4 linked regions of the Medicago truncatula genome follow. Each later gene encodes a partner of the first gene's protein in a complex. Links are inferred from orthologs where the notes say so. Each region holds a gene or a part of one and is shown on either strand. Other genes may lie near its edges.

Evidence for each region.
Region 2: photosynthetic NDH subunit of subcomplex B 5, chloroplastic (region 1) and photosynthetic NDH subunit of subcomplex B 1, chloroplastic share a complex: the UniProt entries of both Arabidopsis thaliana proteins name them as parts of the chloroplast NDH complex. The link is inferred for Medicago truncatula from reciprocal best matches to the Arabidopsis thaliana genes PnsB5 and PnsB1.
Region 3: photosynthetic NDH subunit of subcomplex B 5, chloroplastic (region 1) and photosynthetic NDH subunit of lumenal location 5, chloroplastic share a complex: the UniProt entries of both Arabidopsis thaliana proteins name them as parts of the chloroplast NDH complex. The link is inferred for Medicago truncatula from reciprocal best matches to the Arabidopsis thaliana genes PnsB5 and Pnsl5.
Region 4: photosynthetic NDH subunit of subcomplex B 5, chloroplastic (region 1) and NAD(P)H-quinone oxidoreductase subunit O, chloroplastic share a complex: the UniProt entries of both Arabidopsis thaliana proteins name them as parts of the chloroplast NDH complex. The link is inferred for Medicago truncatula from reciprocal best matches to the Arabidopsis thaliana genes PnsB5 and NdhO.

Annotation. Positions count from the first base shown.
Region 1 is NC_053046.1:18,566,686-18,575,013, reverse strand, and holds photosynthetic NDH subunit of subcomplex B 5, chloroplastic, read right to left. Parts: upstream 3,144-8,328; 5' UTR 3,086-3,143; coding exon 2,864-3,085; intron 2,767-2,863; coding exon 2,703-2,766; intron 2,309-2,702; coding exon 2,246-2,308; intron 1,855-2,245; coding exon 1,796-1,854; intron 1,685-1,795; coding exon 1,454-1,684; 3' UTR 1,230-1,453; downstream 1-1,229. Other genes in the region: acylamino-acid-releasing enzyme, read left to right, coding at 3,923-4,052, 4,388-4,703, 4,919-5,140, 5,406-5,624, 5,747-5,818, 5,912-6,050, 6,509-6,660, 7,067-7,149 and 3 more. UniProt on the Arabidopsis thaliana protein: NDH shuttles electrons from NAD(P)H:plastoquinone, via FMN and iron-sulfur (Fe-S) centers, to quinones in the photosynthetic chain and possibly in a chloroplast respiratory chain.
Region 2 is NC_053045.1:956,020-964,821, reverse strand, and holds photosynthetic NDH subunit of subcomplex B 1, chloroplastic, read right to left. Parts: upstream 3,574-8,802; 5' UTR 3,481-3,573; coding exon 2,869-3,480; intron 2,613-2,868; coding exon 2,422-2,612; intron 2,237-2,421; coding exon 1,979-2,236; intron 1,672-1,978; coding exon 1,566-1,671; intron 1,177-1,565; coding exon 1,091-1,176; intron 983-1,090; coding exon 817-982; 3' UTR 664-816; downstream 1-663. Other genes in the region: phosphatidyl-N-methylethanolamine N-methyltransferase, read left to right, coding at 1-192; probable GMP synthase [glutamine-hydrolyzing], read left to right, coding at 8,566-8,802. UniProt on the Arabidopsis thaliana protein: NDH shuttles electrons from NAD(P)H:plastoquinone, via FMN and iron-sulfur (Fe-S) centers, to quinones in the photosynthetic chain and possibly in a chloroplast respiratory chain.
Region 3 is NC_053042.1:56,646,169-56,654,251, forward strand, and holds the start of photosynthetic NDH subunit of lumenal location 5, chloroplastic, read right to left. Parts: upstream 3,544-8,083; 5' UTR 3,433-3,543; coding exon 3,379-3,432; intron 3,286-3,378; coding exon 2,899-3,285; intron 1-2,898. UniProt on the Arabidopsis thaliana protein: NDH shuttles electrons from NAD(P)H:plastoquinone, via FMN and iron-sulfur (Fe-S) centers, to quinones in the photosynthetic chain and possibly in a chloroplast respiratory chain.
Region 4 is NC_053044.1:47,465,230-47,472,230, forward strand, and holds NAD(P)H-quinone oxidoreductase subunit O, chloroplastic, read right to left. Parts: upstream 2,885-7,001; 5' UTR 2,809-2,884; coding exon 2,559-2,808; intron 2,455-2,558; coding exon 2,399-2,454; intron 2,306-2,398; coding exon 2,240-2,305; intron 2,150-2,239; coding exon 2,108-2,149; intron 1,959-2,107; coding exon 1,899-1,958; intron 1,772-1,898; coding exon 1,742-1,771; 3' UTR 1,393-1,741; downstream 1-1,392. UniProt on the Arabidopsis thaliana protein: NDH shuttles electrons from NAD(P)H:plastoquinone, via FMN and iron-sulfur (Fe-S) centers, to quinones in the photosynthetic chain and possibly in a chloroplast respiratory chain.

The sequences.
Region 1 (8,328 bases):
CGGTAAGCTCCACAATCATCAATACTAACAACCATTGCCTCCGCCCAGAGGTAGTGGTTAAGGAATGCACAATTTGCAAGACAAAGTTACTATTTTAAGCTTCTTATCAAGTGTCTTTAAGGCACTTGTTAACATTTTTCTTAATAAAATGATAATCTTTAGACTTTTGTAGGCACTAGGCAAACAATAGTGATGGCACGATTTTGACTCATCCACATTTTTCTATCTACAGAATATGAACATTCAATTAAGATACTTAAATCATGGGACTCGAATTTTCCAGATGTCTTCCAGATCCATAATAGTAGAACTGAACTGGTCAAGGGGCATTACTTGATGCCATGCCATCACAGCTAAGCAGACCCAAGGTCTTTATTTACCAAGACTTTTTTGCCTAGGGTGTTCCATTTTCCTTGGAGCACTTAATGCCAATGTTAGTAAAATATTTTCCCAGTTGCAAATTAAGACAAGTGGTGGAGAGTTTGATTTTGGTTGGAACAATTCTCGACTAGACTGATTTGTTTTTCGACTTAACTCCAGATATTAAGTCAATAAAGTATTATATTTAGAGACGGGTGTAATAACTGAAAAGTAACAATAATTTTGTAAACACCAACAATAATAGATCTAGATCTAATCTAGTAACAAAGTGTAAAGGAAAACCACAAGCAAAGCAAGAACAAAAATAAAAAGAGTAGATAAACAAACACACCGATATTTGGTTACTCAGTTCAGATTTCAGAATGATCTACGTATGGAGAGAGATATCTCGGAATCACTGTCAATGTGTTTCTTACTAAAAGATACAAAGGTTACAAGAAATCTCTACAAACAAACTAATTTCTACTCATTTCCTAATCTCTTCCCTTTGTCAATAGACTCCAAGGTTTTTACTCACCCAAAGTGTTTATGATGTTTCTCAACCCATGAATCTCCACTAAGGACACGCAACTGTTAGCCTCTATGTTTTCTAAAAGTTCTCTATTTTGGTTTGACAAGATTACACAATAACGATGAAAGAATGCTTAAATAGCAGTTATGAACCCGAGCGAATCACCTTGTGATCTTCAAAAAGCTCTGCCATTTCTAGCGATTATGGGAAATTACCTTGCGATTTTGGGTCCTGAGCAAATCGCCTTGCGATCCGAGGCGATTTTTCCAGGATCAAACCAATTCCAAACTTCCAAAATAATTCCTCTGATGAAATTTGAAGGCACACGCAACAAATGTGGAAAAAAAATGTTGAAAGAATCCTAACTCATACATTTTTTTAGACAAGGGGAGTAGCATTCTTAAGTTTATGTTTGCTTTAGAATAGAAATAGGGAATATACACATGTTGATCAACATAAAAAAGAAAAGCAAGAAAAGTAACAAATTTACAAGGGAATCCTTCATATTCATTATACTTTAAGAATTACCATGCACATATATAGACAAAAACAAGAAAAAAATTATCTCTTCATTATGTCATCCTTCTTGATAGTAAAATCCCAAAGGTCTCCATATTTTTCATTGAAATCCCATATGCTCATGGAATTATAGTCATTTATCAACTTGTCTCTAGCTCCTCTTTCCATGTTGTATATTTGAGGTTCAAAGTGATGAGGTTGATCAGGTTTATCCATCTCAATAATGCAAAATACAATTGTAAATATCCCTGCTCCAATGAACAAGTACTCTCCCTGAAACAAACATTGTACTTAGGATTAACATCAATTACTTCTTCCTCAATGTATCAATTGATTTCTAGATTGAGTATTTCTTCATTGATGTCAATTAACATTTAGAATTACCGGAACATCGAAGAATACCCCAGCAGCAATGGCTGGTGGGAAGAGCCATGATATAAGCCCTGCATGAGAATCAAACAATAATCGAAATCAATTATTACAGTCAAAATTTTGGTCAAGGGCCAGCTCAAGTGGCAAACTTTGATGTTGCGGAGATTTGTGGTCAAATGCAGTCGATGCTGCTTCAAACGCGGCTGCAGTGCAGCTGTGGAGACAGAAATACTTTGATATCGCTGATGTTGTGATCAAAGTCGCAAACATTTCTGTTTATAAAACTCCGCAATTGCAACACAACCACGGCTTATTTATTCATTAGTCATTCTGATCAACTGTTTGAGCTAATTGAACTACAATTTGGAGGTTTTACGGGCTCAATCACTCGTCGAGTTTATAAAACATTCTTGTAAACCAAGTTAGAAAATGATAGATATTGGTGCAAGGAAAACAACATACCTTGAAATCCAGTGGGGGGTCCTACTGCTATTACATCATCCATAATGGCACCCCAAACTGTTCCTGAAATTAATATCCATCATGAACTTTGTTAGAAAAACATATACACGCTTGATCAGGAGCATTTTTTTTTTTTTTTTTTTCATCATAGATTTCCTCCACAATAGCTAATGCCTTTCTTTTGGTAGGGATTCAAAATTTTGTTCGCCACATTGTGAAAGTCTAAATTCAACCCAATGAGGTGTGACATAAGACATATCGAGTTCAAATCCTTCGACAATAAAATCAACACCGTCTCTTTAATTAATAACAATTTCCTTATTCTCCAGGTTTTCAAAATAAAAAGTATCCAATTACCATGAGTGCCACATACTTCAATTTCCATTAAAAATAGAACTGATTGAAAAATAAAAAGAAACTATAAAACTAAGAAAATAAGCAATGAAAAAACAAATACCTTCCTTTTCTTCACCTTCATTAAAAGTATGATGACCATCAAATATTCCATACTCAAATTCTTCCTATAAAATCCACACAAAAACAAACCAAACTCATCACAAAAACAAAACTATAGTATAAAAGTAATTAAACAAAATGAAGTATATATATGAAAAATACAGGTGGAATGCCATTAGTGCGAAATTGGTCAACAGGATCTTCATTAAGGTCAGGCTCAACAAGATTGAAACCAGCATTCAACAAGAATTTTGTTGAGTTATTATTACTCTTGGTGAATATGCCATGAAAGTTGAGTGGTGTTGGTGAAGAGAAGGATTTTGAAGTGAGTTTTGATGGAGTGATGATAGGAGGGACAAGTGAAAGTGAGGAACATAGCGCCATGTGTCAGACTTGGTTGGTTGGTTCTCTTTCATATGTTATCTCCACTTTTATCAACAGCAACTATTTTTTTGAGGAATCACCAACAAATTTTATCTACTTAGATTATTAGATATTTTGGAGCTTATGTTGATTAAATTACTACCACGTTAGATTTTTGTTAAATTACCCTTGATAATTTAACTCTTTGCAAAAAATAATTTGTCTTAAAATGATTGACATTTTCAATGTTGTTATAATTTTTTTTTTAATAATATACTAGTATTTGAGTGAAGTTGATATGTTAATTTGAACAAAACAAATGTTACAACGAAAAATCAAACAAGGCTGTGTTAAGATGACTAACAAAACATGAAAATGAGATGTCGAAATTACAAAACATATATTCTACTTTTCATTCCAATTCTATTAATTACATAACGGTTAAGAAATACTATAGATTATTTTGATAAATGAAAGCAATAAAATTCCATAAAGAAAGTTACATTTGCGATCCTTTCACTTAATTATCGATAATTATTAGGTCCTTTATTTTTTTTAAACTTATTTTAGTCCATTAGCATATAATTTTTAAGCTTTCATGTATAAATATATTAAAATAATAAAAATTTCGATCGTTATTTCGATCTAAGTTAAAGGACCAACAAAACAATTTTGCCAAATCAATATAACTCCTTTCCAATCAAATCCTAAAAGTCAACTACTCCAAATACAAAGTGCAAATCTTCTTTCTTCTCTTCCAAATTGAGTCACATAATCCACACTTGTTCTTCTTACCAACATTACCAAATAAGCTACTACATTAGCATACAAAATATAACATTGTTTCAAGGTTGAGAAATGCAGTCTGGTGGAGAAGATGCAACCACTGAGAAAGAAAACTATGCTTCTCTCTCCAATTTACTTCCACACTTTACTACTATTCCCAACATTCACAAAGCATGGCTTTTCAACTCACACACTACCAACAGTAAGCAATTCATAACCATCATTTATTTCACAGTTAGTTACTATACTAGTGTGTGTTAACTTCGCATCACGTTGGATTTGTCAGAATCACTTTGATTATTACTATATGAATTCTATTAGTTAGAGTTAGTTAGGATGTTAGTTAGTGTTTTTTGATAGTTAGTTACTCAATAAGCTCTATATATATAAAGCACTTATATACATTTTATACATCTTTTATCGATATGATTCCTTATGAATTTTACTCTCATTCGAGCTATCAAAGCTCTTTTATTACATTTTCTCATAATCTTCACTTATATTGCTAATTAAGGATGTTTTATTTCTGCTCCATAGCACAAGGAATGTTTTCTATCACCCAACCAGATGTTTTAACAAACAAGAACAAGACTTTGATTCTGTCCTGTAACTTTGTTAAACAAAAAAGTGATGGTTCTGTTGTTGAGTTTCTGTGGGCTCCGTTTCCAATTGAGATGCGTGGTGATGTGTCTATGATTGTTCCGTCGCCTTCTGGTTCTAAGCTTTTGGTGATTCGGAATAGTGACAGTGAAGGAGGGGGTTCTTGTTGCTTTGAGATTTGGAGTTCTTCTTGCTTGGAAAAGGAGTTTAGTATTCCTCAATCAATGCATGGATCGGTATACAATGATGGATGGTAAGTTTGATGACTTATGAGATTGAGATGTATTTATTATTATTAATTATTCATGTATGTGAGTTTGCAATGTTGAATTCAATGTTAAAGAGTTGCAATGGAACCAAAGCCTTTTGGCTTAATCGGTTGTAACCATGGTTTTAACACTCGCATAACAAAGTTCTACTAAAAAAATGCACAATAAAGATTTGTTTGTTTATTTTACCTTGGTTTAGGTTTGAAGGTGTCTCTTGGAACTTGGATGAAACATTGATAGCATATGTAGCAGAAGCACCCTCTCCTACAAAGCCAGTATTTAATAATACGGGCTACAAGAAAGGTGGTTGTGCAGAGAATGATTTTGGTATCTGGAAAGGTCAAGGAGAGTGGGAGGAGGATTGGGGAGAAACATATGCTGCAAAGAGACAACCTACACTTTTTGTTATCAACATCAACAGGTTTTTCATCATTCATATTCATGTCAGATATTATTTAGGATCAATACTCAATAGTTGTCAAGTAGCGGCAATAGAGGCACTGTAGCGCTGTCGCACAACATAACTTTATCTAATTGCTATTGTGCGATGATACATTGTTTAGTACAAAGTGCTCTCAAATAGTGGCTCTATCGCAGTGTAGAATAGCCAAATTTGAACAAACTGCTATTTTCCGAATTTCACAATTCACAACAGAGTAATCTTACTTTAACTAGTATTTTCGCAGTGGAGAGGTGCAAGCTGTCAAAGGAATTGACAAATCTTTGAGCGCTGGCCAAGTTGTGTGGGCTCCATTTACCGAAGGCTCAGAACAATATCTTGTTTTTGTCGGGTGGTCATCTGGGACAAGAAAGCTTGGTATGAAGTACTGTTCTAACAGGCCTTGTGCATTGTATGCGGTTAGAGCACCGCATCACGAGTCACAATCTGAGGAACCAGAACATCAGTGAGTCACTTTAGTAAGAAATTCTTAACTCCCAATTTTTTCATATCTTTTAGAAAGAACAAACTTGTTGCTAAGTTTGGTTAATTCTGAAAAGAATGATGAAACTAATATTTTACATATAGCTCATCAACTGAAGAATTGCATGCACTGAACCTAACTCCAACAATAAGCAGTGCTCTTTTTCCACGATTCAGGTGGAGTCAGCTACTTGTGTTTAATTTTAATATCTACTAGTATATGCGTGGTGTCCCTAAACCGCTAACAATTATTCATGAATTTTCTACCAGTCCAAATGGAAAATTCCTTGTATTTTTATCTGCAAAAAGTGCTGTGAACTCTGGCGTGCACAATGCTACAAATTCACTTCATAGGATTGATTGGCCAACTGATGGAAAACTGTACCAATCTGCCAATATTTATGACATCGTAAGCTCTTCTTGTGGCCATCTTAATTTGGATGTATTTGGTTTGTTTGCAGGTTGCATTTTTTTTTAATTTAGACTTTAGAAGTCTAGAATAAACTCCTAAAGTAGTCCTCTAAAAATTATGGTGTCCTGACAATATAACATTAGTCTTCCAAAGAATTTTCACCAAATAAGTCTCTCAACGATCTAAAATGTCACACATTTATCCTTATGGAGGGGCTAAAGTGGTTCTACGAAATGATATGTTTGGTAAATGCTTTGAATATTTGAAATTGAGGGTCTGATTTGGTGACATGCTAATCATTGGAAAACCCATTGGAAATTTTGTTGCCAAGCAATAACAATCTTTAAAGCACCTTAGCTTAAATATATTTTACTTAAAATGTGTAATCTTTGCAGAAGTCATAAGGTGATGTTTTTGACAGTTATTAACTCTGGCTTTTTCAATCAATTCTGAAGATTCCTGTTGTAATGTGTGCTGAAGATGGTTGTTTTCCTGGGCTTTATTGTACAACTGTCCATAATAATCCTTGGCTTTCTGACAACTGCACAATGATCTTATCATCCATCTGGCACAGCTGCGAAGTTCTACTTTCTGTGAATGTGTTGAGGTAACTATATAACAATAGGAATGTTTTTATCCATCTATTAATGGTTTATGTATTCATGGTTATCAGCTCGTGATTCATATCGTGAATCAGCAGAACTATTTCCCAAATCATGACTCAAATATTATTATAAATCACAAGAACTTTCTTGAATTGAATATTATTATGAATCATAAGGCACATTACTAATTTAAGACTCAAGTCTTAAATCAAACCACAAAAGAAAAGTGGCCGAGTATAAAAAGTTGATGAAAAAAAGTGGGACTTTACTAAATTCAGGAAATGATTCATTAAAATGAAATGGGATACATTGAGTTCCATTTTGTATCGATTCGAGATATGACTTGCATGTATCATAAGATACTGGAAACTGTATATATTCTTTCTGATAATTTTTTTGTCATTATAGTGGGAAAATATTACGTATCAGCCCAGCAGACTCAAATTTCTCGTGGAATCTTCTTACGCTGGATGAGGACAATATTCTTGCCAGTAAGAACAAATTCTCAGTTTTTCACTACTTTGGTCTTCTAAAGTGGAGAAGTGTGTTTTATCCCATTTCCTTGTCAACTGTTTTGCAGTTTCCAGCAATCCAGTCAATGTTCCTCAAATTATGTATGGAATGGCCATTGAGAAGACAAAGGGAAATTCTATATGGAGTTGGTCAAAGATATCCAGTCCCATACTCAAATGCTCTGACAAGGTTTGTATTATGTATTTCTTTAGGTATATTAGTGGAAACAGATGTTTCAAAAGTATATTATTCTATATGTTTAGATGTGAATCACTGTACTTTGGTTGCAGGTTAGATCTTTGCTGTCCTCTATCCAGTGCAGTATACTGAAGATCCCGGTCACAGATGGCTCTAGTAATACAACAAAAGGTCTTTTAGTTGCTTTGGTTTCTTGGTCATGGATACGTAACATTAAGTTGAATGACTTAATGAGATTTGAAACATGTTTTAATTTTTGTGTGTGTGCGTGTGTGTTTATTCTCACAAAGTAGTTGAGAAAATATCTTATTCCATCTTATGGAACTCACTCTTTATCTTTTGTTGTTTCTATATCAATGAATTTTCATGTTGGAGATCTTGGAGCCTGTTAGGTTTGAGGAAATGTTTTTTGATTGCATATCTTGTTTTTTTAAAAACAAAAATTTCATATTATTTTCACTCTGTTCCTGTTTCTAAGGATTTGGTTAAGAAGCAACATAAACTATAGAATTCATATAAGAATCTCATGAGTTGTTTGTTATGTTACAATTGAGAGCATTGGACACGTTAAATTGATTAAAAAATCTTTTCATACAGTGCAAATATTTATTTGGTAACCACATACTTCTATAACAAATCCAACACATTATATAGTGATAGCTATGCGTAAATCTTAATCGAGTTTTTGGGATCACTTAACCGACTGTCTAATATGTGTTTATCCTAAGTTTTATTTCAGGTGCTGCTAAACCTTTTGAAGCTATATTTGTCTCATCCAAAACCAAGAACAAGGATGTATTTGATCCATTAATTGTGATCCTTCATGGAGGGCCACAAGACGTCTCTTCGTCACACTTCTCAAATTCTTGGGCGTTTCTATCTTCAGTTGGATACAGTTTGCTAATTGTAAATTACAGGTAATACTTGTTCCTGAAATGCAGTTAGAGATTTGGTCGGAA
Region 2 (8,802 bases), on another chromosome or scaffold:
ATTCCATGGGTAACCGAATTCCCTTTCGGGGTCATCAGTGATCCTCAGTATATTGGCAGCATCATGAGTCTTATTGCATGCCTTCCATGGGTTCCTTTTCAGTACATTCTCCTGTGGGTTTTAGGATACGTGTTTATGATTCGTGTCGAATCAAAGGAAGATCCATCGACTCGTGCAAAGCCACTGAACTGATTTTGTTTCAGTAGATTAGATATAAGTAGGAGTAATCAGTAGCATCTAAGGTGCCGAACTCTTTGTATGTTTCTGTTTCTTGCCAGTGCATTGGAATGTCATCTCTATTTATATGTTCCGATTCCACAAAACTATTTCAAATGAACTGCAAAGTGTAAACTTATTTGATTTCTGTATCTCGACACAGATTTTGGATTCTTTGCAGTCTTTCCATTCAGAGGCCGGCCGTTGGATTAGTCCAATTGACCAAGAGATCTCGAGACCGCTCTCGACATATGTATGTCACAAGCTTGTCAAAGTGTAAACAGCTTTAGGTGATAGCTTTAATAAATGGAATCTTGTGCATGTGATAAGGATTCACATTTTTTGTTTGTTGTTTTGCTGAAAAGGATCCACTTTTCTTTTTCTGTCACAAGATTCATGCTTGTGCATCGCAAAGCTTTCTCGACTTTTATTTTTACGTGTTTTGACTTTCGTTTTAATTCATGTACCTGTTTTTTTATCGCCCCAAAGGAAGCCATGAATTAGTTGATATACATTCCTTCTTTACCATAAGTTTTAACCATAGTTAGCACAACGACTTAACTTGAAGTTCAGAACCCTCGCTGTTTTCCCTCTCTTAGGCTATGCAAAAGCTAGAGAAACATTGAAAGTTTGAATTGCATTTGTTACAGCCTCAACATCTATATTGATCAACTTCCCCGTCTTGGATGATATCACAATGCACTTCTTCTCTTCTGCCCGCGGAACAAACTTGTTTCCCTTCTCTTTAGAGGAAAATAGTGCAACACTGCATAAATTGAGCAACAGTTTTATGGGATCAATGTGATTGTCTTGCAAAGCTTAATTAATGTGCTGTTTAGGGAAACATTATAATTCATGTGAATGGTAAAATTACCTAGGTTTTTCGCGCGCATTTGCGAGCTGAATTGCAGCTGTATTGGTAGCTATAACTCCAGCCGAGTCGTTAATAAGAGCAGCCAACTAAACCATACAACCACAGTTAGGGAATTGAAACTGTTAAAATGAAGATTTGAAGACTCACATTTTAACTACAATAAATTAGATCCACACAGAATTCGGATTGCATGAAGACTATGCCACCGTGGTTTTCCATTTTTGGTCGATCAAAGAAAAAAAATCAACGAGACACAGACACGGACACTAGTTATGTTCAAAAGCCTATTCCTATGTCCCATATTGTTGTCTTTCCCCTTATTTTTGTTATTTCAATATTAAAACAGCATATTTTTTATTGATCTATTCATTCATTTTCATCACATCACAGTTCAATGTTTTGACATTTTTTTACTATTTTATTTTTTTCTCTCTAAGTTTGTTGCATGCAAAATAACTATGAGATACTTGAGTACCTGTCCAGGGGTGGTGATGAAGATTATAGAGGAATCTTCTCCAACTATTTCCTCAACATTTTCCCTTTCTTTCTCATGTGGAATGACAAAAAGTGGTGTAAATTCCCTGTATTCATATGTTAATTGTTAAAATATAGTCCAAAACATACATACCAGAAAATGACAGAATATAAGGAGAAATTGCTTGAGAAACACTTATTTGACGAATACAGTTATGTAGGATACCTTTTTTACTTGAACTCTATTTTGATAAACAACTTAATGAAACGTTTATAGCATAAATGTTTATCATACAAGAGTTTATGTATAAAAATAAGCTGAAAATAAGTTCTAAGCTGTTTTCATAAGCTATTATGGAGAACTTATAAAAATAAGCTAAGAGAGATTCTATATTAGAGGGCAACATTTCATACCTTACAGCATCAGCAATTTCAGCCCACACTTCAAGGGGTAGCAAGCTATCAGGATCACCCCTAGACTGCATTGTGGCTTTTGAGTCTGATTGTATCCCATGAATCACAATATATCTTCCTTTCTTTACACCTGCTTTTGTGTATTTCTCCTCCACAACTTCCTTCAACTTCCTTGAAAGTGATATTTTAAGTGGTGGCACAACCTGCCGTGGAACGCTTCGAAACGGTCTTCCTAGCCAGTCTTCCATTTGATGATACCTAGTTCGTCAAACTCATCGGAAATGGTCCTCAGTTAAAGAAAATTTTCGTGAAAATCTACCAAATGTAAATCTAAATACTATCAGGTAAAAAGTTTTACACTGTCAATACATGATCTAACACTTAAGACTGATTGGCAGTGTAAAAACTGTTTACACCGTGATTTCAAACATGCACAAACTCACATATGATATCCTCCCTCTGAGAGATTTGTACTATCTGGTGTGAATGTTTCAGATAGAAACAATCCTGCTCCTGCACCATTCACATTCGGATAAACATAACTAACTCTATCTCGCGCAGTTGTCATGAATAAATATGCTGCATGGCCAACTCCGGCCAATTTTGTGCTCAAGACCATGTCATAGTACCTACTCTGTAAGCATAACATAACAATAAATCAGTTCCTATATAAAATTTCTAATATATGTACCTTAGAAAGTAGCAGGAAAAATCTGTTAAGAGTTTTGAGCTATGAAGCACGGACAGTCTTCGGATTAGGTGTGTCCTGATGTCGGACACGCGTCCGTATCGGTGCTTTACAAGGTATGATCGATTTTCAGTCTCATATTTCTAAAGAAAAATATCGAAACTTTACACAAACTATTTAAAAAATATGCTTGCCAACCAACCTTTAGAACACCGACAAAATCGGTATACTCAGCAGGCTCAGGAAACTCATCGTCCGGATCAAAAACATTAGCCCATCTAACATTCTTATTCAACTCATAACACTGTTTCCCTCTCTCAGAACCCACAACATCAACCTGAACACCAGGGTACCTATCCTTAATCAACTGAATCATTGGAAAAAACAACAGATTCTCATAAACACCACCAGATACCACACAACAACACCTTCTAACATCACCTCTAACTTTCAATCCTAAAGGAGCTATCTCAACCATATAACCAGCTGGAAACTTCAAGAATCCATAAGGATTTTTTGGATTATCGGGCGGCCTTGGATCCTCGTCTTGTTTACCGTCTGAAAACAACGAACCATATTCGATATTTGGATCTTCTCCATCGTCAAAAGGGTCTAGCCATGGATTGTTCTTTTTGGCATTTACGCGAAGATTTAGTCTTCTAGTTGAATTGTAACAATGTGATGGATGGTCTAATGATGTTAACAATGAAACATTGGTTGGATAAGTTGAAGGAATGGAAAATGTGTTTGTAGTGAAATGGGAAAATGGTTTTGAAATTTTAGAATGTAAATAATATGTTGCAGTTGCAGCCATTGAGATTTTTCAAATTTGGTTCTTTTTTTGCGTTGTTCTTGCTACAAAGTTAGACATGTTAGAGACTAGAACTAGAATGTGTGGAAATGTGTTGGATAAGTGGGTCCCATTTAATCTTTTTTGTATTATGTGCAGCTTCCTTCCTGTTACCAATTATCAACCTTTCATATAGAAAACTTTACATGAGTTCGTGAAAAAGAATCTTATGAGAGTTGTTACAAATAAAAGGTAAAATAGTCCTTGGTACGATATAATAATAGAAGAGAAATGATATTTGTACAACTATTTTGTGACAATTTTTCCTCTCATATCCATATTATCCTCTTATTCATTCTCTTCCTTTTTCTCTCTCCATTATTTTTAACCAATGAAAAGAAAAGAAAAAAAAATTATCACAAAAAATTATATAAAATGGTTGTTCAAATATCACTGCTCAATGTCACATTGAACCTAACTCAATGATATCATGTACTACGAAATTGAAACAATCCCCCAAACCACCACTTTGACATGCATAGAAAATATAACTTGTTGAATCCTCTTTCCTAATTTTAAGTCCACTTCATTGCTTTCAATAAACTAAACACTATGCAACAACTACCTTTACAGCCGATTGCATCCACAATATCTTGGCTCTTATAAATATGCCAAATTCATCATGCACACAAGTATTAATTCCTAGTTTGTGTTATGAATTTCATTAAACGACATATGTATATTATATTTCAAAAATTCAAGTGGACGTCATAATTAAAAAATAAACACAAATAAAAGATTATTTATGTCTATAATCTCTCGTAAATAGACAATAAATAAAAAGCGAATAAATAAAACAAATATAAATTTGAGGTTTTGAAACTATTGTTTTTTGTTTTTTAAGATAGACGAAATGACAAAGTTATTATAAACTCACACACATAAGTGGAGGTACCGTGGTTCGAACCCCGATTATGATATCATGTCTAACGATTTCGACATTTTGTCAGTTGAGTTAGAACTTATGGATGAGACTATTGTTACTTTAGACAATAAGTTGTAACAAAAAAAAAAAGGAAAATGAGTTTCAACACATATCACTTTCTCATATTTATTAAAAATTAAAAAAAAAAAATCCCTTTCACGTCTAGTTTGGGTGGAGATGCATTTGCATGCTGCACGCCACATGAAATTCTTTACTATAAATGGTACTTGTAACTGCCAAATTATCATCCAACTACCACACCTTGAGTTTAAAATTATCAATAATAACATAACATACAAACAAAGTAAAATATTTTAAAATGATGTTTGGTTCACCAAAAATAATTAGTCTCAAATAATTATAATTATAAAATATATAAACAAATTTTGGGAAAAATAGGAATCCATATTAGATTATACGAGATTTTTAACTTATACTCGTTATACAACACACAAAATGGAAGCAAGTTATTTCTTTAAATTTGAATCATCTCTTTCACTACTTCTCTGCATGTCTCACCTAACTCTCGTTTTTCATTATAAAAAAGATAGAGATAGAAAATTAGAAGAGAGGATATATAAATAAGGATTAATAGACCTTTATCCCTCCCTGTAATATAGATCACTTTTGATTTTGTCTCCTGTAAAAGAAAAAATTTGGATTCGGTCCTTGTAATTTTTTTTTGTTTAGAATACCTCCTTAGAGCAGCTGACTGTGCACTATTGCTGATATGGCATATTATGTCACCTTTTTCGAATGACGTGGCACACTGACAGTATAATTATTTTTTTATGGGCACACATGCCATTTATATTTTTTTTTAAAAATTAAAAAACGAAAAAATATTATAAAAAATAAAATAAATTTTGGAAAAATAAAAATAATAATAAAAAACAAAATAATTATGGAAATATTAATATAATAAAAAATTGGTAAAATGAAAAATCAAGAAAATTTAGTTAAAAAAAATCTGGAAAAATTAAAAAAATCTGGTAAAATAAAAACAAAAATCTAGAAAATTTAATAAAATAAAATCTGGAAAAATTAAAAAAATTAATATATTTCAAAAAATTCATATTTCCATATTATTTTCAATAGCGAAAAAATTAAAAAATTTTGGAAAATGAAATTTTTTTTTTTTTTCGATAGTAAGAAGTTTTATTTTATAAAAAAATGAAAAATTTAGGAACTTAAACTATTTCAAAATTTATGAATATAATAAGAAAAGAATTAAAAATGAAAGTTCATATTTTTCTTTCAAAATTAAAAGTTTGGTTTTTTTTATTTTTATTTTATACAGAAAATCTAAATATTTAAAAGTATTTTCATAATTAAAAAAACATAACATTAGATCATGAAGAATAGAATTAAGGGCTTGTTATTAACGGTATAACATGACTTATATACCGGTGTCAATCAATATCCATTGTATCATGTTATTCGTCTAGATTATATTTTCGAATAAAATAAAATTCTAGAAATTAATTTTCAAAATCAAAATAATTATATAATAATATATTTTCAATTTTTTTATAATTTTAATTTAATTCAGACTTTTTTTATAATTTTTTTGAAAATTTCGGTATATATTAATTTTTTCCAGATTTGACCAGATTTTTTAAATTTTTCCAGAATTATTATCATTTTTAAATTTTTTTAATCATTTTTTTTAAATTTTTTCATTTTTCCAGAATTTATTTCATTTTTTAAAAAAAATTAAGAATTTTTTTATTTAAAAAAAAATCATTAATGTCACGTGTACCCCATAAAAAATAAAAAAAATTATACAGTTAGTATGCCACGTCATCCGAAAAAATGACGGAACATGTCACATCAGCAAAAATGTACAGTCAGCTGGCCTAGTGGGGTTTTCCAAAACAATTTTTTTTTACAATGATCGAATCTATATTTTTTTTTACATGAGACAAAACCAAAAGTGACCTATATTACAAGGGGTAAAGGCTTATTAAACCTATAAATAATAGTGAAGGAAATCAAGTGATTAAGGACGAATGGTTATTGAATTTTATCAAATGACAAATTATTTGAAAGAATCTTAATTTGATTATGAGATGAAACAGTTTATGGGCATATTTTACTTATTGTCTTTCCGATGGAACTCCAAGTTAATAGAATCCGTCTCATAATAATCAAGATTGTAAAAAATATAGTCTCAGACATGATCCATTTTGTTATTCCTTCCCTTTTTTGGGTGTATGTGAACGAATATCCTCTATGCATAGTTGCATAAATTAATCATTAAGTTAAGTATAATAAAATATATGATAAACTTTCCTTGAAAAGATTTATCGTGGTATTAAACTAAGAAAAATTTATGATTATTTCCTTTATTAAATTTTAACACATTTATTAGTCTCTTCCTTAAACTAAAAAGAGATATTTTACTTTCGGCTTAATACATGCTTTGGTCCCTTAATTTATTTTCGGATTTCATTTTGGTCCCCTAACTATAAAGTGTCTCAATTTAGTCCCTTATGTCTTTTGGTCCTATCTGTTACATTTTAATTATTTGATCTATTTTTCAAATAGAAATCGTTGGATCATGTAGGTGTATTGTAGCCTACGGTGAATGATTAACACCTGATTTTTTTGAAGCCAAAATATATAAAAAAATTCATATTTTTTTATAAAATACGAAGAAAAAAATATTCCATATTTTTTATAAAATCATTTTCAAAATTAAAAAATTTGAAAAAATTTATTTTTTACGAAATTTTTAAAAATGGTCAGATTTTTTTTTCTACAAAATTCTGGAAAATATTTTAATTTTTAAAATATATAAAAAATTCATATTTTAAAATTAGAAAAGAAAAATATTCCAAAATTTAAAATTTGAAAAAAAATTAATTTTTTACGAAATTTCAAAAAAAGGTCAGATTTTTTTTGTCCGAAAAAAAATGTTTTTTTTTAATTTTTTCTACAAAATTCTGGAAAAAATATTAATTTTGAAAAATATATAAAAAATTCAGATTTTTATAAAATATGAAAAAAAATAATTTTTTTACGAAATTTAAAAAAAAGGTCAGATTTTTAATTTTTTTTTTCTACAAAATTCTGAAAAATATTTTAATTTTTAAAAATCTGGATACAAATTATTTCAAAAATAGATGAAGATTGATGGTGATTTTAAATTTATATTTTTAGGAAAATCAATAAGAATAGAAATGATTATATGTTGTGAGCCTATTGTATACTTGTGTACTTTTCAAATCTAGTTGTTGATCACCAATCTTAAATGACATGTGGACAAGGGTTAACTATTTTTGAAAACAAACTAACGGAGATGATCAAAAGAGGTAACAACAGAAGACATAAGGGATCAAATTAAAATACTTTATAGTTAAGGGACCAAAATAAAATCCAAAAATAAGTTAAGGGATCAAAACATAACATGTATTAAACCTTTAGGGTGTGTTTGTTTCAAGTTATAATTGTTGATTCCCGAGAATAAAATGATTGGAATATATATCCCTATGTTTGTTACAAGTTTACTAAATTTTATTCCCGGGCATAAAATGTTCCTGGGAATAGAAAAAATTTCACAAGAAAAAGGGTGGGAATAAAGTTCCCATGGAAATGAGAATAAATTCATAAATAGTTTACCTATTATAATCCCTATTTTTATAGTTCCTAGGAATATTATAAAGCTAACCAAACATATTTTTCCTAAATTCTTTGGAATAAAATTCCTATCTTTATATTCCAAGAAATGTTATTCTTAAGAATAAATTTGGTAAACTTGAAACAAACACACCCTTAGAAATATTTTACCTTTCACTTTCTCACTCTTTCCCTGCAAGTCTGCAACTTTCTCACCACACTCCACCAACACAAAGCAAAGCTTCTACCTTTTTTCACACAAACAACCAAACTTACCTCATTTTTTTCATCTTCATGCTTCCCAAAAAAGAAACCCTTTATTCTTCTTTCTAGGGTTTTGTGCTCAAACTTGAAATTCAAATTTTCAATTCAAAATCTTTTTTTTTTTATCATCTTTTACTTCAATTCCATCTCTGAAAACTCGAAATTTTCAATTGGGTATTCGGCATTGATCTTCTAAACAGAGATTTCGTGAAGAATATTCTAGAATCTAGGGTTTTGCAATGTCGGGTCCACCCAGAGTTCGATCCATGAATGTCACTGTTGGAGCAGATTCTGATTCCAAGGCAGCTCGTCCTGTGAAGAATGTGAAGAAACCGGTGCCGGCGCCCGAAACGGAGAAGAAGAAAACTTCGCCGCAGTGTGTGGTGGTTACACCGGCGGTTTTGAAGCGGCGGGATCATTGTGGGGTTGTGGGGATGAAGAATATGTCGATGAATGCTTCGTGTTCGTCGGATGCT
Region 3 (8,083 bases), on another chromosome or scaffold:
TTTAAAAAACGATTTCAAATTTGCAATACTCCATATATCATTATTAATTTTTTAAGTGTCCGACTTTTGATTTTGAATTTTCGCTATAATAGTATTTTTTTCTTCTCTTTTTTTGTTTTTTTTTTAATCCATGACTATTTACACTTCTTCTAAAGATATTAACAAGTTTCTTTTCATGCTTCACATAATTAAGTAACCTTTCTATTCTATTTTGATTTAGTTTATTTCATTGATATTTTGTACTTGAGGTTATTGTTTGAAGTCTAATGTTTTCATATGACATTGAACATTTATTTTGCTTTCAACTGTTACTAAAATAGTCAGGATAATTTGACATGTTTTTCAGATGAAAAGTATTGTAGGCAAGTAAGAAGTCTCACCGTGCTAGAATGAAATATTTCCAACTGTGTAGTTAGATAAATATTATGTGATTGATACTCTTAGGTGTGTGCTCTGTAAAACATTATTTATCTACTGTCAGTTCTAAAGTTTGAAAGAATAAATTATTTTATCTTATAAATATGTTTCTAAGATCTATTGTTATGTTTCCTTAAAAAAAACGATCTATTGTTATGTTCTGATATCATTTTCAAAAGCAATGTACAACTTTTTCAAGTCTTTCACGGTGTTTGTTGATAATTCATTGCCTGGACTGAAACATTTTCCATAAATAGCCGCATATTGTAAAGCTAGATATTTTTTAATAAGACTAAAGTTTTAGTGTGGTTAATTGCATAAATAATAATTATTAGTACTAATAAATAAAGAGAAATTTAGGGTGCACAATGGCTCAAATTGTTGAATAACTTAGGTTAAGTAATTGCAACACTCCAAAAAAAAAAAGTAATTGTAACACAACACTCACCTTCAATCTGTTAACATTGTAGGCACTTCTATAGAAGATACTCACATGATGGGGATCCCTTAGGTTAGTTGTATTTAAATTCAACTATGAAGATAATGGAAAGAAAATAAGTTTGAGGTCCGACCATTGTGTTCCATTTAACTTTTTTTTTTTCCAAAACTATATAAGCTCTATTAGTTAACTTTTTCTTTTGAAAGGATTAGTTTAACTTAATTATTATGACAAAAGGAATGATGATTTAATTTTTCCAGAGCATCTTTCATATAAGTAAGTAAGTCACGTTTATTCTTTTTTTGATAGGTCACTTATGCTTATTCTCTTTTCCTATTTTTAATTCTTCAATATTTTTTCCCTATTGCAGACAAAGAAGAAAGTGCCATTGTTGCTACAAAACTCAGGGTGGAGCTAATCTCAAATGAAGCTTAATGTGTATTTTTTCTTTTGTGACATTGTGCATACAAATTGTAAATAACAGTGGCGTGGTAAAGTTTTATCTCAGAACATTTTGCACCACCCGGTTTAGGTGAAAAGTTTTATCTCAGAACTCTACTAAATTATGTCAAGGGTCCTACATCTTTCGAAGACATAAAAACGGTGGATAACGTCAAATACTTTAGTTTCAAAGACACTTGCTTTGCGATGGGACTGTTGGACGATGACAGAGAATTCATTGACGCCATAATAGAGGCAAGTTTGTGGGGTACGGGCACCTACTTGTGAAGACTTTTTGCAGCATTGACGGTTTCTGATCAGCTGTACAGACCAGAGGTTGTTTGGAATAGCACTTCGCCTAATCTAATTGATGACAATTTGCACAAACAAAGACGTGTGCTTGGTGCGCCTGGTAAGTCTGATTGTTAAATCTGTATAGTTTTTTTTAAGGTTAAATTTACTTATTTGTCTGGATAGCTAATCTGAATACATCACTTATTTGTTAATGGCCGGTTAATATAGAGAGCGAAACTTATGCATCAGCATTGTACTACATGCTTAATTCATATTGCAAACCTTTGTGTAGGAAGATTAGATACTAGCCAGCCTGAATTACACTATATTTCATGACTAATATACTCAAAGAAATTTGTAGTTTGTTGGTGTATAGTGGAAAATAACGTTAACTATACATGACTCAATATTAAGAGTATATAATTATATTAGTTTACTTAAGGCAGGGAACTCAAATTTTGTCAATTATATTAGCTTAATTCATATTGTCAATTGAACATGGCATTGTCAAGAGTTACTTCAAGAGAAGGTTTGAAGATTTTAATATCTAATGACGATGGTGAAGACGATTGTGTAACATCTAATGTGGTTTATAGAGAGGTTTTTCGTAATCTTTCTTAATTTATGTCATTTGTATGATTGAACATATTTATAGTCTTTTTATTTGTATGAATGATGTAATACACTATCTTTATTACCGTACTAATGACTTATTGCTATGAAGGCTTATACAAATTTCTATATTATTGTCGGTTTCTACAATCTATATGACCCGTGCGCCGCACGGATCGGCGTTCTAGTAGATGTTAATGGCTATTTTTTCTATACCAAAGGGTCTCAACAATTCCAACAATGGGACCCGGGTGGATGTTCTCTTGTTCGAGGGCAAGGTTTATGTGACTTTAGCAGTTACTTGAAAGTCACTAGTACTACTACTCTTCAACATTATTATCTTGGCTTCAACCTTGAGGACAAGGTTGATTTTAAAGGGGATGGTAATGTAATGAGTCTTAGAGTTAGAAGGGGCATTATGGGAAATAGGAATATGGACCCTTATAAATATGAGAAAAGCCAAGGAAATAAGTATGAAATGATTGATGTAACTTCTTCTCCTTCTCTCTAATTCTCTAGTCCCTCACTTCTATTTTTCTTATTCTTATTACATTCCTTTGTTACCTATTACTCTCTATGAGAGATTCCAATTACTAAGTTGTAATGCTTAATTGAGTGAATCAATGAAATTTCATTTACATTTTTATTCCAATTAAGTAGAATCATTACAGAGATAGCGATAGAGAGATACTTACATTTCCTTTATCAAAGTCTCCTCCTTGAATCATGAAGTCCTTGATGACGCGATGGAAGGTGGAGGACTTGTAGCCAAAGCCCTTCTCACCGGTGGAAAGGGCACGGAAGTTCTCAACAGTTTGTGGGACATCATCACCAAAGAGTCCTATCACAATCCTTCCAACCAGCTTCCCAACTGGATTTCCAATACTAACATCAAAGAATACTTTGTGAGTCACTTTTGACTGTACTATTACTTTCTCCTCTGAACTACTACCACTTTCCACTGCCCTCACTTTCACTTGTCGTCGTACTGCTACTGCTAGTTTCACACCCCCACCTCGGGACCTAACCACCCCGACGGAAATACTTCTTCTAGGGTTAGGGTTCAGAGCAACAACATTTGACTGACCACCCAACCAAGAAAATCAATCATTTAATAAAAATGAATTCAACACCAATTAAATTTAAATTCAAGTAATAAAAAAAATATATATTACCAGTGAGAAAAGTGGCGGTGTTGTAGTAACATTGAATGCAGCAGCAGCAGCCATCGTTTGGTTAAACACCGAAGAAGAAGGAAGGAAGGATATCGCGCATGCGTTAAAATTGGGGAGGATGCGACCAATCTATATCTATTCAACTCAAACCCATGGATGGATTCACCACCATTTTTTGTGGGGGCCACCACATTATAATTAAAACTAAAATAGAATTGGTTTAGATTTCATTTGCTAGAGATTGCATTTAATTTAATTAAAATTTAGACTAAGATGTATCAAATTTGATTTGATTTAATTATTTTATTAGGTTAATAAGGGGGAAAAAATAAACTACAACAAAATTCGATATTTCATTTATACAGTGGCTTAAATATGCAAACCGTCTCTGTAATTTTGCGCATTTTTGCAATTCGTCCATGTATCTTTTTTTGTTTCAAAACTCTCCTTGTAAGCTTTTTTCGTTTTGCAAATGATTCTTCCCGTTAACTCCCGTTACAAAAACGGCGAGGTGGCAGGCGGAGACATACGTGGCTTAGTGTGACTTGACAAAAGGAGGGTTACGTGTCAAAAGAGTTGGTGAGTCATCCTGTCTTTTGATTTCCCCCCTATTTATTGAAAAAAAATGCTCTCATTTTCCATTTCGTCCTTGTGAAATAGGGTTTCAGAGAAGTTAGAGAGTCATGGTGTAAGAACAGAGACGAAGGTGAGTTGACGGTGAATCACGGCAACGAAGTGTAATCAACAGTTAGCGAAGGTTTTTGAAGGTGATCGACGGTAGAAGAAGCGGTTTTTGGCTTGCGATTGAGGTAGAACATTCTAACCTATCCTCTTATTTTTTTCTTCTTCTTATCTTTTGTTTGTTGTTTGAATCAAAAAATCTTTGAATGCTAGTTTATAATGATGTAAAAGAGTAGAATGGATGTCGTTATATGTTGTTTGATGTTGTTTTATACTTGTTTTTGTGTTGTTGTTGCATGTGGTTTTGGTAGAGACGAAGATGAAGGTTTATTAACAAAGTTTATGTTTCTAAAATTTGACAGGGATGAGTGTGTCAATTGTATTTCACCATGGGGGTGAATTTGTTACGGACTATATTTTGTATTACACTGGGGGTCAAGAACACGTAGTAGTAATGGGATTGATAGGGATAGGTGGTGTTACTTCGAAGCGACTGGTATACTAAAAGAGTTAGGTTATGATGATCACCTTAAGTATCATTTATGGTGGTATGTTATTGAAGATGATAAATACAAAAGGATTGTTGATGATAATGACACTGATATTGTTGGTGATTATGTTATTGAGAACAAACGTGTGGCTCATTTATATGTTGAACATTCAGTTATAGGGATGGTAGGTTCACATGTGGGGTAGAGTTCTATGGATGTGGGGCAGAGTTCTATGGACTTGGACATGTCAGGGGGAGTTGGAGGTCAAGAAGGTCATGTAGTTGAATAAGGCACAATGAATGAAGCTGATGGTGTATGTGATGATGAAGAAATGAGTGGTGATGGTTCTGATGACTATATGGGAAGTAGTGAAGATGAAGCTGCTGGAGTAAGATTGGATGATAGTGAAGAGGAAAAAGCTATGGGCATGAATGATGGGTTTTTAGTTGAAGATGATGAGACTCCTCCTATAGTTGGTAATGCAGTGGTAGATAAATTTGAAGTAGATAAAATAGTCACAAGGAAGGGGGGTTTGAATTGTGACCCTTTAAAATTAAACCTGTCACTTAAAAGTTATTCTCAAGTTGAAAACTTGGAATGGTTAAGTTAACAGACAGACTTCAGAACGTTCTGAAGTGTTAGTATAAAAACAATTTAAATAATTAAATGTGTTTGTGTGTGTTGTGTTTACTGTAAGTAAATAGTAAAGAGAAGAGAAGAAGAACACACAGAAATTTATAGTGGTTCCCCCAATGTGGGTTAGTCCACTCCTCACAGTTTTGTGAGATTTTCCATTATGATGCTTGAGATAACTTCTCAAATTCTGCACCTTACAACCTTGTTCACCTGAACAATTACAACAATTGTATTCTCTTAGCCTCAGCAGACTTACACCTTTCTTGCTAAGTTACCCACTTAGACTTTACACCTTTCTGCTCAAACTAACACTTTAGTACCCCTAAAGCTAGATGAGACTTTGTTTACAATTTGTATGGAGTTTGAATGATATAGATCAAACAAGAGATGAATAGAGGGAGATATTTATCTTTAAAAAGATAAGAGAAATATTGATTTACACTTTTGAAGACTTCTTGGAATCTTTGTGATGATCAATGTTTTTGCTAAAGCTTCAAACACTCTTATGTTGTTTTCTTGTATGCTTTGCAAATGTGTGTGTTATGCTGAGGTCTTGATCTCTATTTATAGAGTTCTTGAGCCTTTGTAGCCGTTGGAGAGTGACCAATGGTCTTATGCCACGTGTCCTGGGACCCACCAACTTTCACTTGAAATTCTGGGCAAACTGAAATACTTCAGAATGTTGTTGTGTTCTTGAGAATACTTCAGAATGTTGTTGTGTTCTTGAAAATACTTCAGAATGTTGTTGTGTTCTTGAGAATACTTCAGAATGTTGTTGTGTTCTTCATGAATTTCTGGGTTGTACTTAAAGATTTGCTTTACACGACTTCAGAATGTTGTTAGATCAGATCTTCTTTGAAATATGTCTAGGAGCGCGTGCAGGATCTCATAAAGTGGTGCTGTCACTTTGTAACGCCCTCTTTAATTATTTGATTATTTTTATAGAGTTTAGAGTTTATTTAGATGATTTATGTGATTTAAATGATTATATGATGTGTTGTGATTTATTAAGTGGCTTATTTTATTATTTAATAGAATAAGATTTGAAAATAAAATAAATATTGAGATGAAGGGTTGTTTTGAGAATTTAGAGAGTTTTGTGGGAAAATGAGGAAATAAGATAAAATAGATGGGAAAAGATAAATAGGAGAAAATAGGTTTAGAAAAGTTTTCACGTACAACCAGTTTTGGAGAAAAGGGAGAACAAGAGGAGAGAAGAACCAAGAGAGAGCTGCTGATCGATTTTCTTAAGGTAAGAGTGAGACTAACATTCAATCTTCTTAAGCCTTTAATTCTGATGATTAGATTTAACATGTTGTAGGGTTAGTTTTTGAAAATTGGAAATTAGGGTTAAGAGTGATAATTGAGGATTAGATGATGGAAACTTGTAGAATTGATGTAGAAAGTGTGTACAGACCTCAAATAATTCATAGTGTGATGTTTAGAATCAGTTTTAAGCTTAGAACCATGTGAATTGATGCATTTTCGTGAAAATCTGCATTCTGCCCGAGCTGACATTCATCGCTCGCCCTGGCGAGGGATGATCCTCGCCACACGAGTGATGAACTTCATCGCTCGCCTCGCGAGTGACCCTTAGTTACTCGCCATAGCGAGCAGATCACTCGCCATAGCGAGTTGACCAGTGAGGAAACCTGATTTTGTGATTCAACTCCTTTAGTCGAGCTTTAGATGATTTTGAGTGCCTGAACATGTATAATAATAATTAGGCAAGTCTTTAGATTGAAATTGAACACGGGGAAGTTAAAAATGAGATTTTTGGGTGAAAAATGTCAAGTTCCCGAGAGCACCCAGTTTCAGTTCGCTAAGGCGAGTAGCTTACTCGCCAAGGCGAGTAGCCATTTTCCTGAACTCGCCATAGCGAGTAGAGTGGCTCGCCTCGCGAGCTGCAGAGAGACATAAAACCTTGTATAGGTTTTTGCGATCTTTGTCGCACGAGATGTTATGAGTTGATCCTTGGGGTAGGAATGAAGGTTGATTATAATATTACTGATGTTCAGTGACTCTGATATAATATGATTTGATGTTGTTAGTAATGTGATGTAGTTGTATATGCATTATGTGAATTATATAAGATGTTTAAGTTGATGTTGATTATTATTTGGTATTGTTATATCTTGAGATGTTATGTGCTGCCTATGTTGTTGTTGTATATTAATTAAGCTGCATGATGATGAGATAAAATCGCAAGTGCACGGTCTTACCGAAGTAGTATGAAAAGAGTATCGTTCCGACAGGGAGTAGTTTAATTCAATTAACCTTTGATGATGATTAGAGGAGAAACGAGTTGTAAGTTGGGGGTTTCAAACGATTGAAAGATAATAATATAAAAGGAGCCTTGGGATCATTGGTTCATCTAAATAACAAGTCCTTCACAAACCAAACTATAAGCTTATAACTTTATGTTAGACCTAATTTCTCAAGACAGTTTCTCTTTTGTTCCTCTAGCAACCAAGCCTATTTCGCTGACTTGATTACTCTTAGATTTTGGTTCCTCTAACAACCAAGCCTATTTCGCTGACTTGATCGTTATTAGTTCCCTTGAAGATCGAAACTATGTGTCTCAAAGATTGCAAAGACTATTTCGCTGCCTTTGCAATCCTTGTCTAAATTCACTTGTTCGAATATCAAAGCTCCACTTTCGTTTTATGAATTGATATTTGAGATAATGGATAAACGATTATCAAACCCTTTCGTTTGCACAGTTTGATAATGGTTGATCCATGTTAAAACGGTGAATTTAGATAAGAAATTAGGGTTACATAAGATTAAGGCTTAGAGCTTGGCTTGATCAGGATTATGTCATTTAGACTTATCCAACAATCCCAAGACAAAGAGAAGTCTACTCACTCATGTTCATCGTAGACATGGGGAAGAAG
Region 4 (7,001 bases), on another chromosome or scaffold:
TCAATTTAAATAGTTGTATTTTTATTTTATTAGGGACCTATTTTATTTTGAGAGCCGGGTCTCCAATTTGATAGGGAGAATGTATGGAACTATATCACCGTCTATGATTATTTATCTTCGTAGTTATTTATTAGAAGTACATGTTCTCATTTTAATTACTTTCTCTTCGAAGGGAAAATGGTACTATGTTTGGTATGTTTCAAACTTTGCCCCTATTTTTACCTTTAGCCACAAATCAGACTTTCTAAAGGACAATGATTTTTTACTTGCTTTTAATTTGTTTTGAATAGAATGTGAATTGATGGTAGTTAGTCTGGGATTGACACCACCCCCTAAATAATTTTTACCTTGAAATAGCATCAGATCGTAAAGAATGCGAATTAAGGTACATTTTATTTTATGTATATGGTTATTCATGTAACAATGTATGGTTCCTGTATAACCTATCATCCTATCTCTTACAATTATGAGGCTTTAGTAATGACCTAGATCTGTAGACCATGCTTTGATGGAGACACTATAAATGGACTGTGTAGTGCTTCTTTATTACCATGGCCTTAAATTTTCTGTTTTGTTTTGATATTTGTATATGTGAATGAATTCTTATGAAAATTTGAACCTGTAATTCTTCTCCAAATTTTGATTCAGGCCAGCTATATCTGATAATATATAGTTTGAACCGAAAGCTTCACGCATTCTCCTGGCTTAAGCCCATTCCACATATGGGGAAAGAGTCTAAAGTTGGAAAGGCATAGCCTTCTTAGATTTTAAAATTTATTAGATCATGGCATGGTTGATAACTTGATATCTGCTTTGGAAAGTGTTCTAGAATTAGTGAAGCTCACTTTTCGATTTCTTCCAATTCAAAGTCGTTTGATCAATCACATTAGTAAAAAGAAAATTCACTATTCTTCAACATCATTAACTAGGCACATTTGACAATTCAGCTTATGGAACAATAAAACAGGTTGTTGGATGTGTATGGAAGCATCCTGATGCATCGACAGTGCCTTAGCTGTGATGTCGCCGATTTGCACAGCACAGTAAAATGTTGGTAATTTGTTCCAATTATAGTTGATATTTTTTCTTTTAATAAAAGATGCTTAATCACAGAGGATCTAGATTGAGAGAGAGTTCATATATATGATGTTCTATGATGGCAATTGAAATCTTTTTTCTTTTTTTTTTTTCCATCCAAAAGTATCACATATAAATGCAAGTTTGAGGCCAATGACTGGAGAGCAAAAGTTATAAGCTTTTGTGGCATTTTTTTCTGCCTTCAATCTTGGTTAAATATTTGATACCTCAAGTTCTACAATTATGCAATTTTAGTGAAGAGATTCATTCTACTCCCTAACATGGAAAATAAGTTGCATTGTTGAATAAACAATATATAAAAAAACATTTTGTTTTAGTGCTTTATTTGACCTACAGGTGCAAATGAAGTGTATTTGCAGTTGATTTTCACATCTCGTTATTTTTCTGATGATTGCCCTTGATGTGCATCATATCTTTAACTATGTCATTTATTAAAAACTAAAATATAGAAGCATAAATACAATGATAGTCATGGCCGAAAACATCATCTGGGTAGCACAACTAAATTTTCCAAATAATTGACAGTAGTCATTCGAATTGATCACGCAGCTCAACTAAAATGGGGTATGGTGGGCGTCTCTGATGGTATTTTGAATCAATCTTCTTGAATCTCGCATCTTACAATACTAGAAGAAAAGGAGTGTTATAGCCTCTCATAATTGAGCTTCTCTGACTGCAACAAAAAAGTAAGAGTTAGGACTTGGGTGCTTTCAAAGCAACTAAAATGAAAATAGGTCGCGTATATGTAGATAAAGTTAAACAATTTACATCAGATTTCATTGGAACAAGTTAAGCATTACCTTGATAAGCATGTATGTAGGAAGCCAAGCTGGAGCAGTGGGGACTCCTACCCATGCAACCTGAGAATTGAGCAATGGTACAGTTTTTGTGTTAGAATACTAAAACTTAAACTTCAAATATCATGCTGTTGGTATGAAAAATAATTGGCACGCTGTCAGCTGCCTTTGGTTCACACCTAAAACACACACACTATTGACAAGTTACTTACAAGTGCATGCTCTCCTGTTTCAAATATACGCATATCCAAGACCTACAAATACAGTTTGACATTTCTAGTTAGATAAACACTAATCATATAAACTATTTTGTTTTCATAATCTTTTGGTGTTTGTTTGTTTACCTCACCACGGTCTTCATAAATGTAGTCTAATCCTTTGTAATAGGGTGGGTGCCCAACAGAAAGATACTGAAAAATTAACCTTAGTACATGTTATTTAAGTCCTCCTCCTCACAGTTGAAATAACTATAATTGAAACTAAATCAATGATAGTCTTCTTACATTAATGCTATTGAGATATTTCTCCTTGTCCACCCTCACAATCTGACCTTTCTTCACTGTCCAACAATTAACAAAAATGAATAAATAATCACACAGACAGCAGCAGCATTCAGCATACATATAAAATCCAAATAAATAGTTATTTGGTTGCTTGACTCACTGGAATAAACAGGTTTCTTAGGAAGAGTCTTAGGAGCAGTAGTAGAGGAGGATGAGGAAGCATCAGAACTCTTAGGCTGTGACTGTGAGCTGCCACCTGGTTCGCCGGATTGAACTGCACAAATCAAAGGGAAAGAAGAACGGACATGTTTCCTTGTCAAAGTTTTTGAGAAATGGGAAAGAGAAGGGAAGGAGGTGTAGCAGCAGAGAGACACACAGAAAGCCATTAAGAGAGACACAATGCCATACATACAACTAGAGATAAGAAGATGACTCTTTTGTTGGGCACGTCACTATAGTAGTGTGAATAAGAACAAATAATGTCACGCCATAAAAAAGAGGGATTCAAGTGTACCAAAAGTTTTGATCTTTAGAGGAATTTCACATCAGCTTCTAAAGTTTAAAATAACTTAATTTCCAAAATTGGTGCTAGAAATTTTAACGTTGGACATCTTATTTTATTTGGTAAATAATAGACAAATTTATCTTCCAAACAATTGTTAACTTAACAATGAAAATTTACTTGTAACCAAAAAAAACAATGAAAATTTACTCAACCGATGAAAAGTTGATTTGTGGATGTAGGTTCAAATCTCAATGACCTTTTTCACGAATGACTTATAAGTGTTAATTGAATCTTGAGATCTGTCTTGACTCTAGTGAGTCCTTAGAGCTCAACTCTCCTAAATTTGTTTGAAAATTGCTTTTCTGACATTGAAAATTTCACAATGACATAAGTAAAATACTTAAATGCCCCCAGCGGTAGTTAACTACCGTTCAGGAACCGGCAGCAGTTAACTACCGCTGAAAAATTGCTTTTCTGTTCTCTCTATTCTGTTATCTTCCCTACCATCTCTGTTCTTCATTTTCCAGCTTTCATATTCAATGTGTTTGGATATACTTGCTTTTATGTTCTTCATTTTCAAATTCTATCAACTAATAATACAAAAATCGTAACATGATTATTTGCAGATTGTGATCAGATCTCACATATCAATTACGGAGAACCATCATACCCAAAAGATCTAATCTGCTACTAATAAATCCCCATTTTTTCATATTGCAAAAAAATAAAATAAAGTTATTGAATTTATGAAGATCCATCAAAAGGGTGGCAAAAAAATAAAACTTCTCATAAACCCATTTCATAAAAAACAAGAGTGAGAAATTTAGCTCACAGATGAAGCCAATTCAATTCAACGGTATGAAAATTAAGCTAAAAAAACAACAAAAGGAAAAACAAAAACAAAATCCTTGGTGGATTAATAAGGAAAATGAAGAACAGAGATGGGAGGGAAGATAACATAATAGAGAGAAGAATTGGCACCAGCGGCGGTTAACTGCCGGTGGTTCTTCGAACGGTAGTTAGCGATCATTGGAGGTAAAAAAACGTCATTTACTTATGTCGATAGGAAATATTCATTGTCAAAAAAACAATTTTCAATTTATTTTTATAAAAAAAATAGGCAAATGGTTTTTATTTTTACAATATTCAAAATGGTTAATTCATTAATTTATGACATTAGAGACAATAATGTGAGATGATAACTACATATGTCAAATTTCACTTTCATCTCACATCCATGTTAGTTCACTGTGAACTAATTTGTCTATAAAACTTAGTAATTTTAAAGATAAATTGGTTAGTAATTATAATTACGAATGAACTAATTATCGATAAATTAGTCTGCAAGAGACTTAAATTTTATATGCAAATAACACTCTTTTAACATTTTTTTTTTTTGACAAAAACACTCTAGCAACATTGTTTTTTTTTTAAGGGAAGCTCTAGCAACATTGTTGTGAGCTATATATTAAAAGGGGGTCATATATTCAATTAAAGTGTTACGTTCTAGCCTCTATTAATAAAAAGTTAACATAACAATTATTTTCATTTGTAAAAAAAAAAAACTATTTTCACCAGCACTTTATAATCTCATGGATTTTTTTTTTTGAATAAATCTCATGGATTTATTTGTTAATTCACAAATATTACAACTATTTTGGTTGATATTACAATTTTGGTGATGAATTCACCTATTCATTAGAATTGACCTCTCTTAACATATATATATATATATATATATATATTTTTCATATTATTCATGATCGAAACTCCGAACCAAATATTTAAAAGAACTCAATTGACTTAAAATAAAATTAAGTAAATATAAATCATTTTCCTTAAAACTTTTTTTTTGGTACAGTCATTTTCCTTAAACTTTCTATTATCAAATTATACAAAATATATTCAATCAAAAAAGTTTGGCTTAATTGCACTTTTCCTCCCTATAGTTTTTCAATTGTGCAAATTTGCATCTTATAGTTTTAAACGAGCGATTTTGCCCCCTATAGTTTTTCCCCTTTCTGATTTTATGGTTCCCATGACATTTAGTGCTGATATGTCTGTTTTTTATCAATTAATGTGTGTCACGTGTGTAATTCCATTTTTTAAAAAATAAAAAAATTATATTTTTCGGATTTTGAGAGAAGGAGGCACGTGATATTTCTTCTTAAAATCTGAAAAATCACGTGCTCATTCTCTCAAAATCTGAAAAATATCATTTTTTATTTTTTTAAAAATGGAATTACACATGTGGCACACATTAATTGATAAAAAAACCAGCATTAAATGTCACGAGGACCATAAAATCAGAAAGGGAGAAAACTATAGGGGGAAAAATTGCTCGTTTAAAACTATGAGGTGCAAAATTGCACAATTGGCAAACTATAGGATGAAAAGTGCAATTAAGCCAAAAAGTTTTTGCTACTGAAAAACCAAACAGACACAAAAGCTATTTTCTTTTTACTTTATCGTTTTATTTTGTTTAACTTTCGCTGGAATAGATAAAGGAGGAGAAAGAAGAAGAAGGAAATGCTATGAATCTCTCTTCTCTCAGTTTTACCCCTCATCATCTTGTTGCTCCTATCTATTCTTCACTTCCCACCAAAACTACAAGGTTTATAACTAACTTTCAGTTTATTTTTCATTTCGGCATTTTCTCAAACACTTTGTGCTCAACCAGTTTGTGTATTTGACGGTTTTTTCAGGGGCAAAAGCGTGGATGGTATTGCAATTGAAGGTCGTAATCTGAATTTCTCGTTCACTGCAAGGCAAACTAAGGATGTGCACGTTCTTAGAGATTGTTCAATTCGCATTCCTTCTGGACAATTTTGGATGCTTCTTGGACCCAATGGCTGTGGAAAATCAACACTCTTGAAGATTTTGGCTGGTCTATTCACTCCAACTTCAGGAACTGTATATGTGAAGGAGCCTAAAAGTTTTGTTTTTCAAAACCCAGATCATCAGGTTCCTTTTTTTAAATGCTAATTGATTCATTGTTGTTAGTAGTATATTCCAAGGGAAGTTCATTGGATTTCTTTTCCATGAGAACGAAAATATAGGCTAAAGTTTTTGTTATGATATTTTATAAACTCTAAATTCAAAGGAGGTGCCTTGTCAAATTTAGTGGTATGTTGAAGTTAGAAAGGGAGGAGGAACGAATTGAGTTTATTTATGATACACTATTAGTCTAAAAAGTTCGAGGACCGAATCACAACCAATCATGTGTGTCACTTTAATATTAGTGATGATTAAAGTCAAATGTTTTTAATGATTTGACGGTTATAGTTGATTAACAGTTTGAAACATCTTTACACCGACGCTGTATATCAATCAAATCCTCAAATTTATATTTATGTTGATACTCTTTTCTTGCTATCTGTGGGTTCAATTTGTATAGCTTGTCTAAATTGTAGTAGGTTGATATGAAAAAAATAGGATATAAAGGTTCTTTTTTTATGTGATTTTCTTTCTGGGAGTCAGATTATCACCTATTCCTTTTGTATATTTCCTTCAATGTCTCTCCAATTACAAAGTAACACCCCTAGAAAACTAATTAAGAGGGAGCATAATACTATATGAAAAGAAATACTTTAGTGATGTATGATATGTCCTGTTTCAATTAGAGGGACTGACATACAAAGAGGATATGTGATTTCAATCCCTTAACACCACAACCTACAATTAAGCTACTCAAGCCAGCTTTGAGGCATTCTCCAACCTTTCCACATGCCTTATTTATTTTGCAAGCAAACAAACACTCCTTTCTGTCATAATTTCCAGTTTCCACAGTTTGTATTGCCATGGCCAGTCCTGAGTCCGAACTGACTACAAGTAGTATCCGATCATCATTCTAGAGATTTGATTTTTGTTGCTTGATTTTCTACAATCTATTGTGCTGAAAAAGTGTGCTTTATTTTTCCTTTGCATCTCAAAGTGTAAGAAGTGGCATTAGTTTCTCACTTTCTTTTTTAATGTTTTCACTAATAGTTTAAGAGGGGTCTTGTTAATGGGGACTTAAGGTCATTGGTTTAAGAATGAAAAAATGGAAATTATTTATTGATCGGTGTGTCATTTAATAGCTGTACATTTCAATAAATA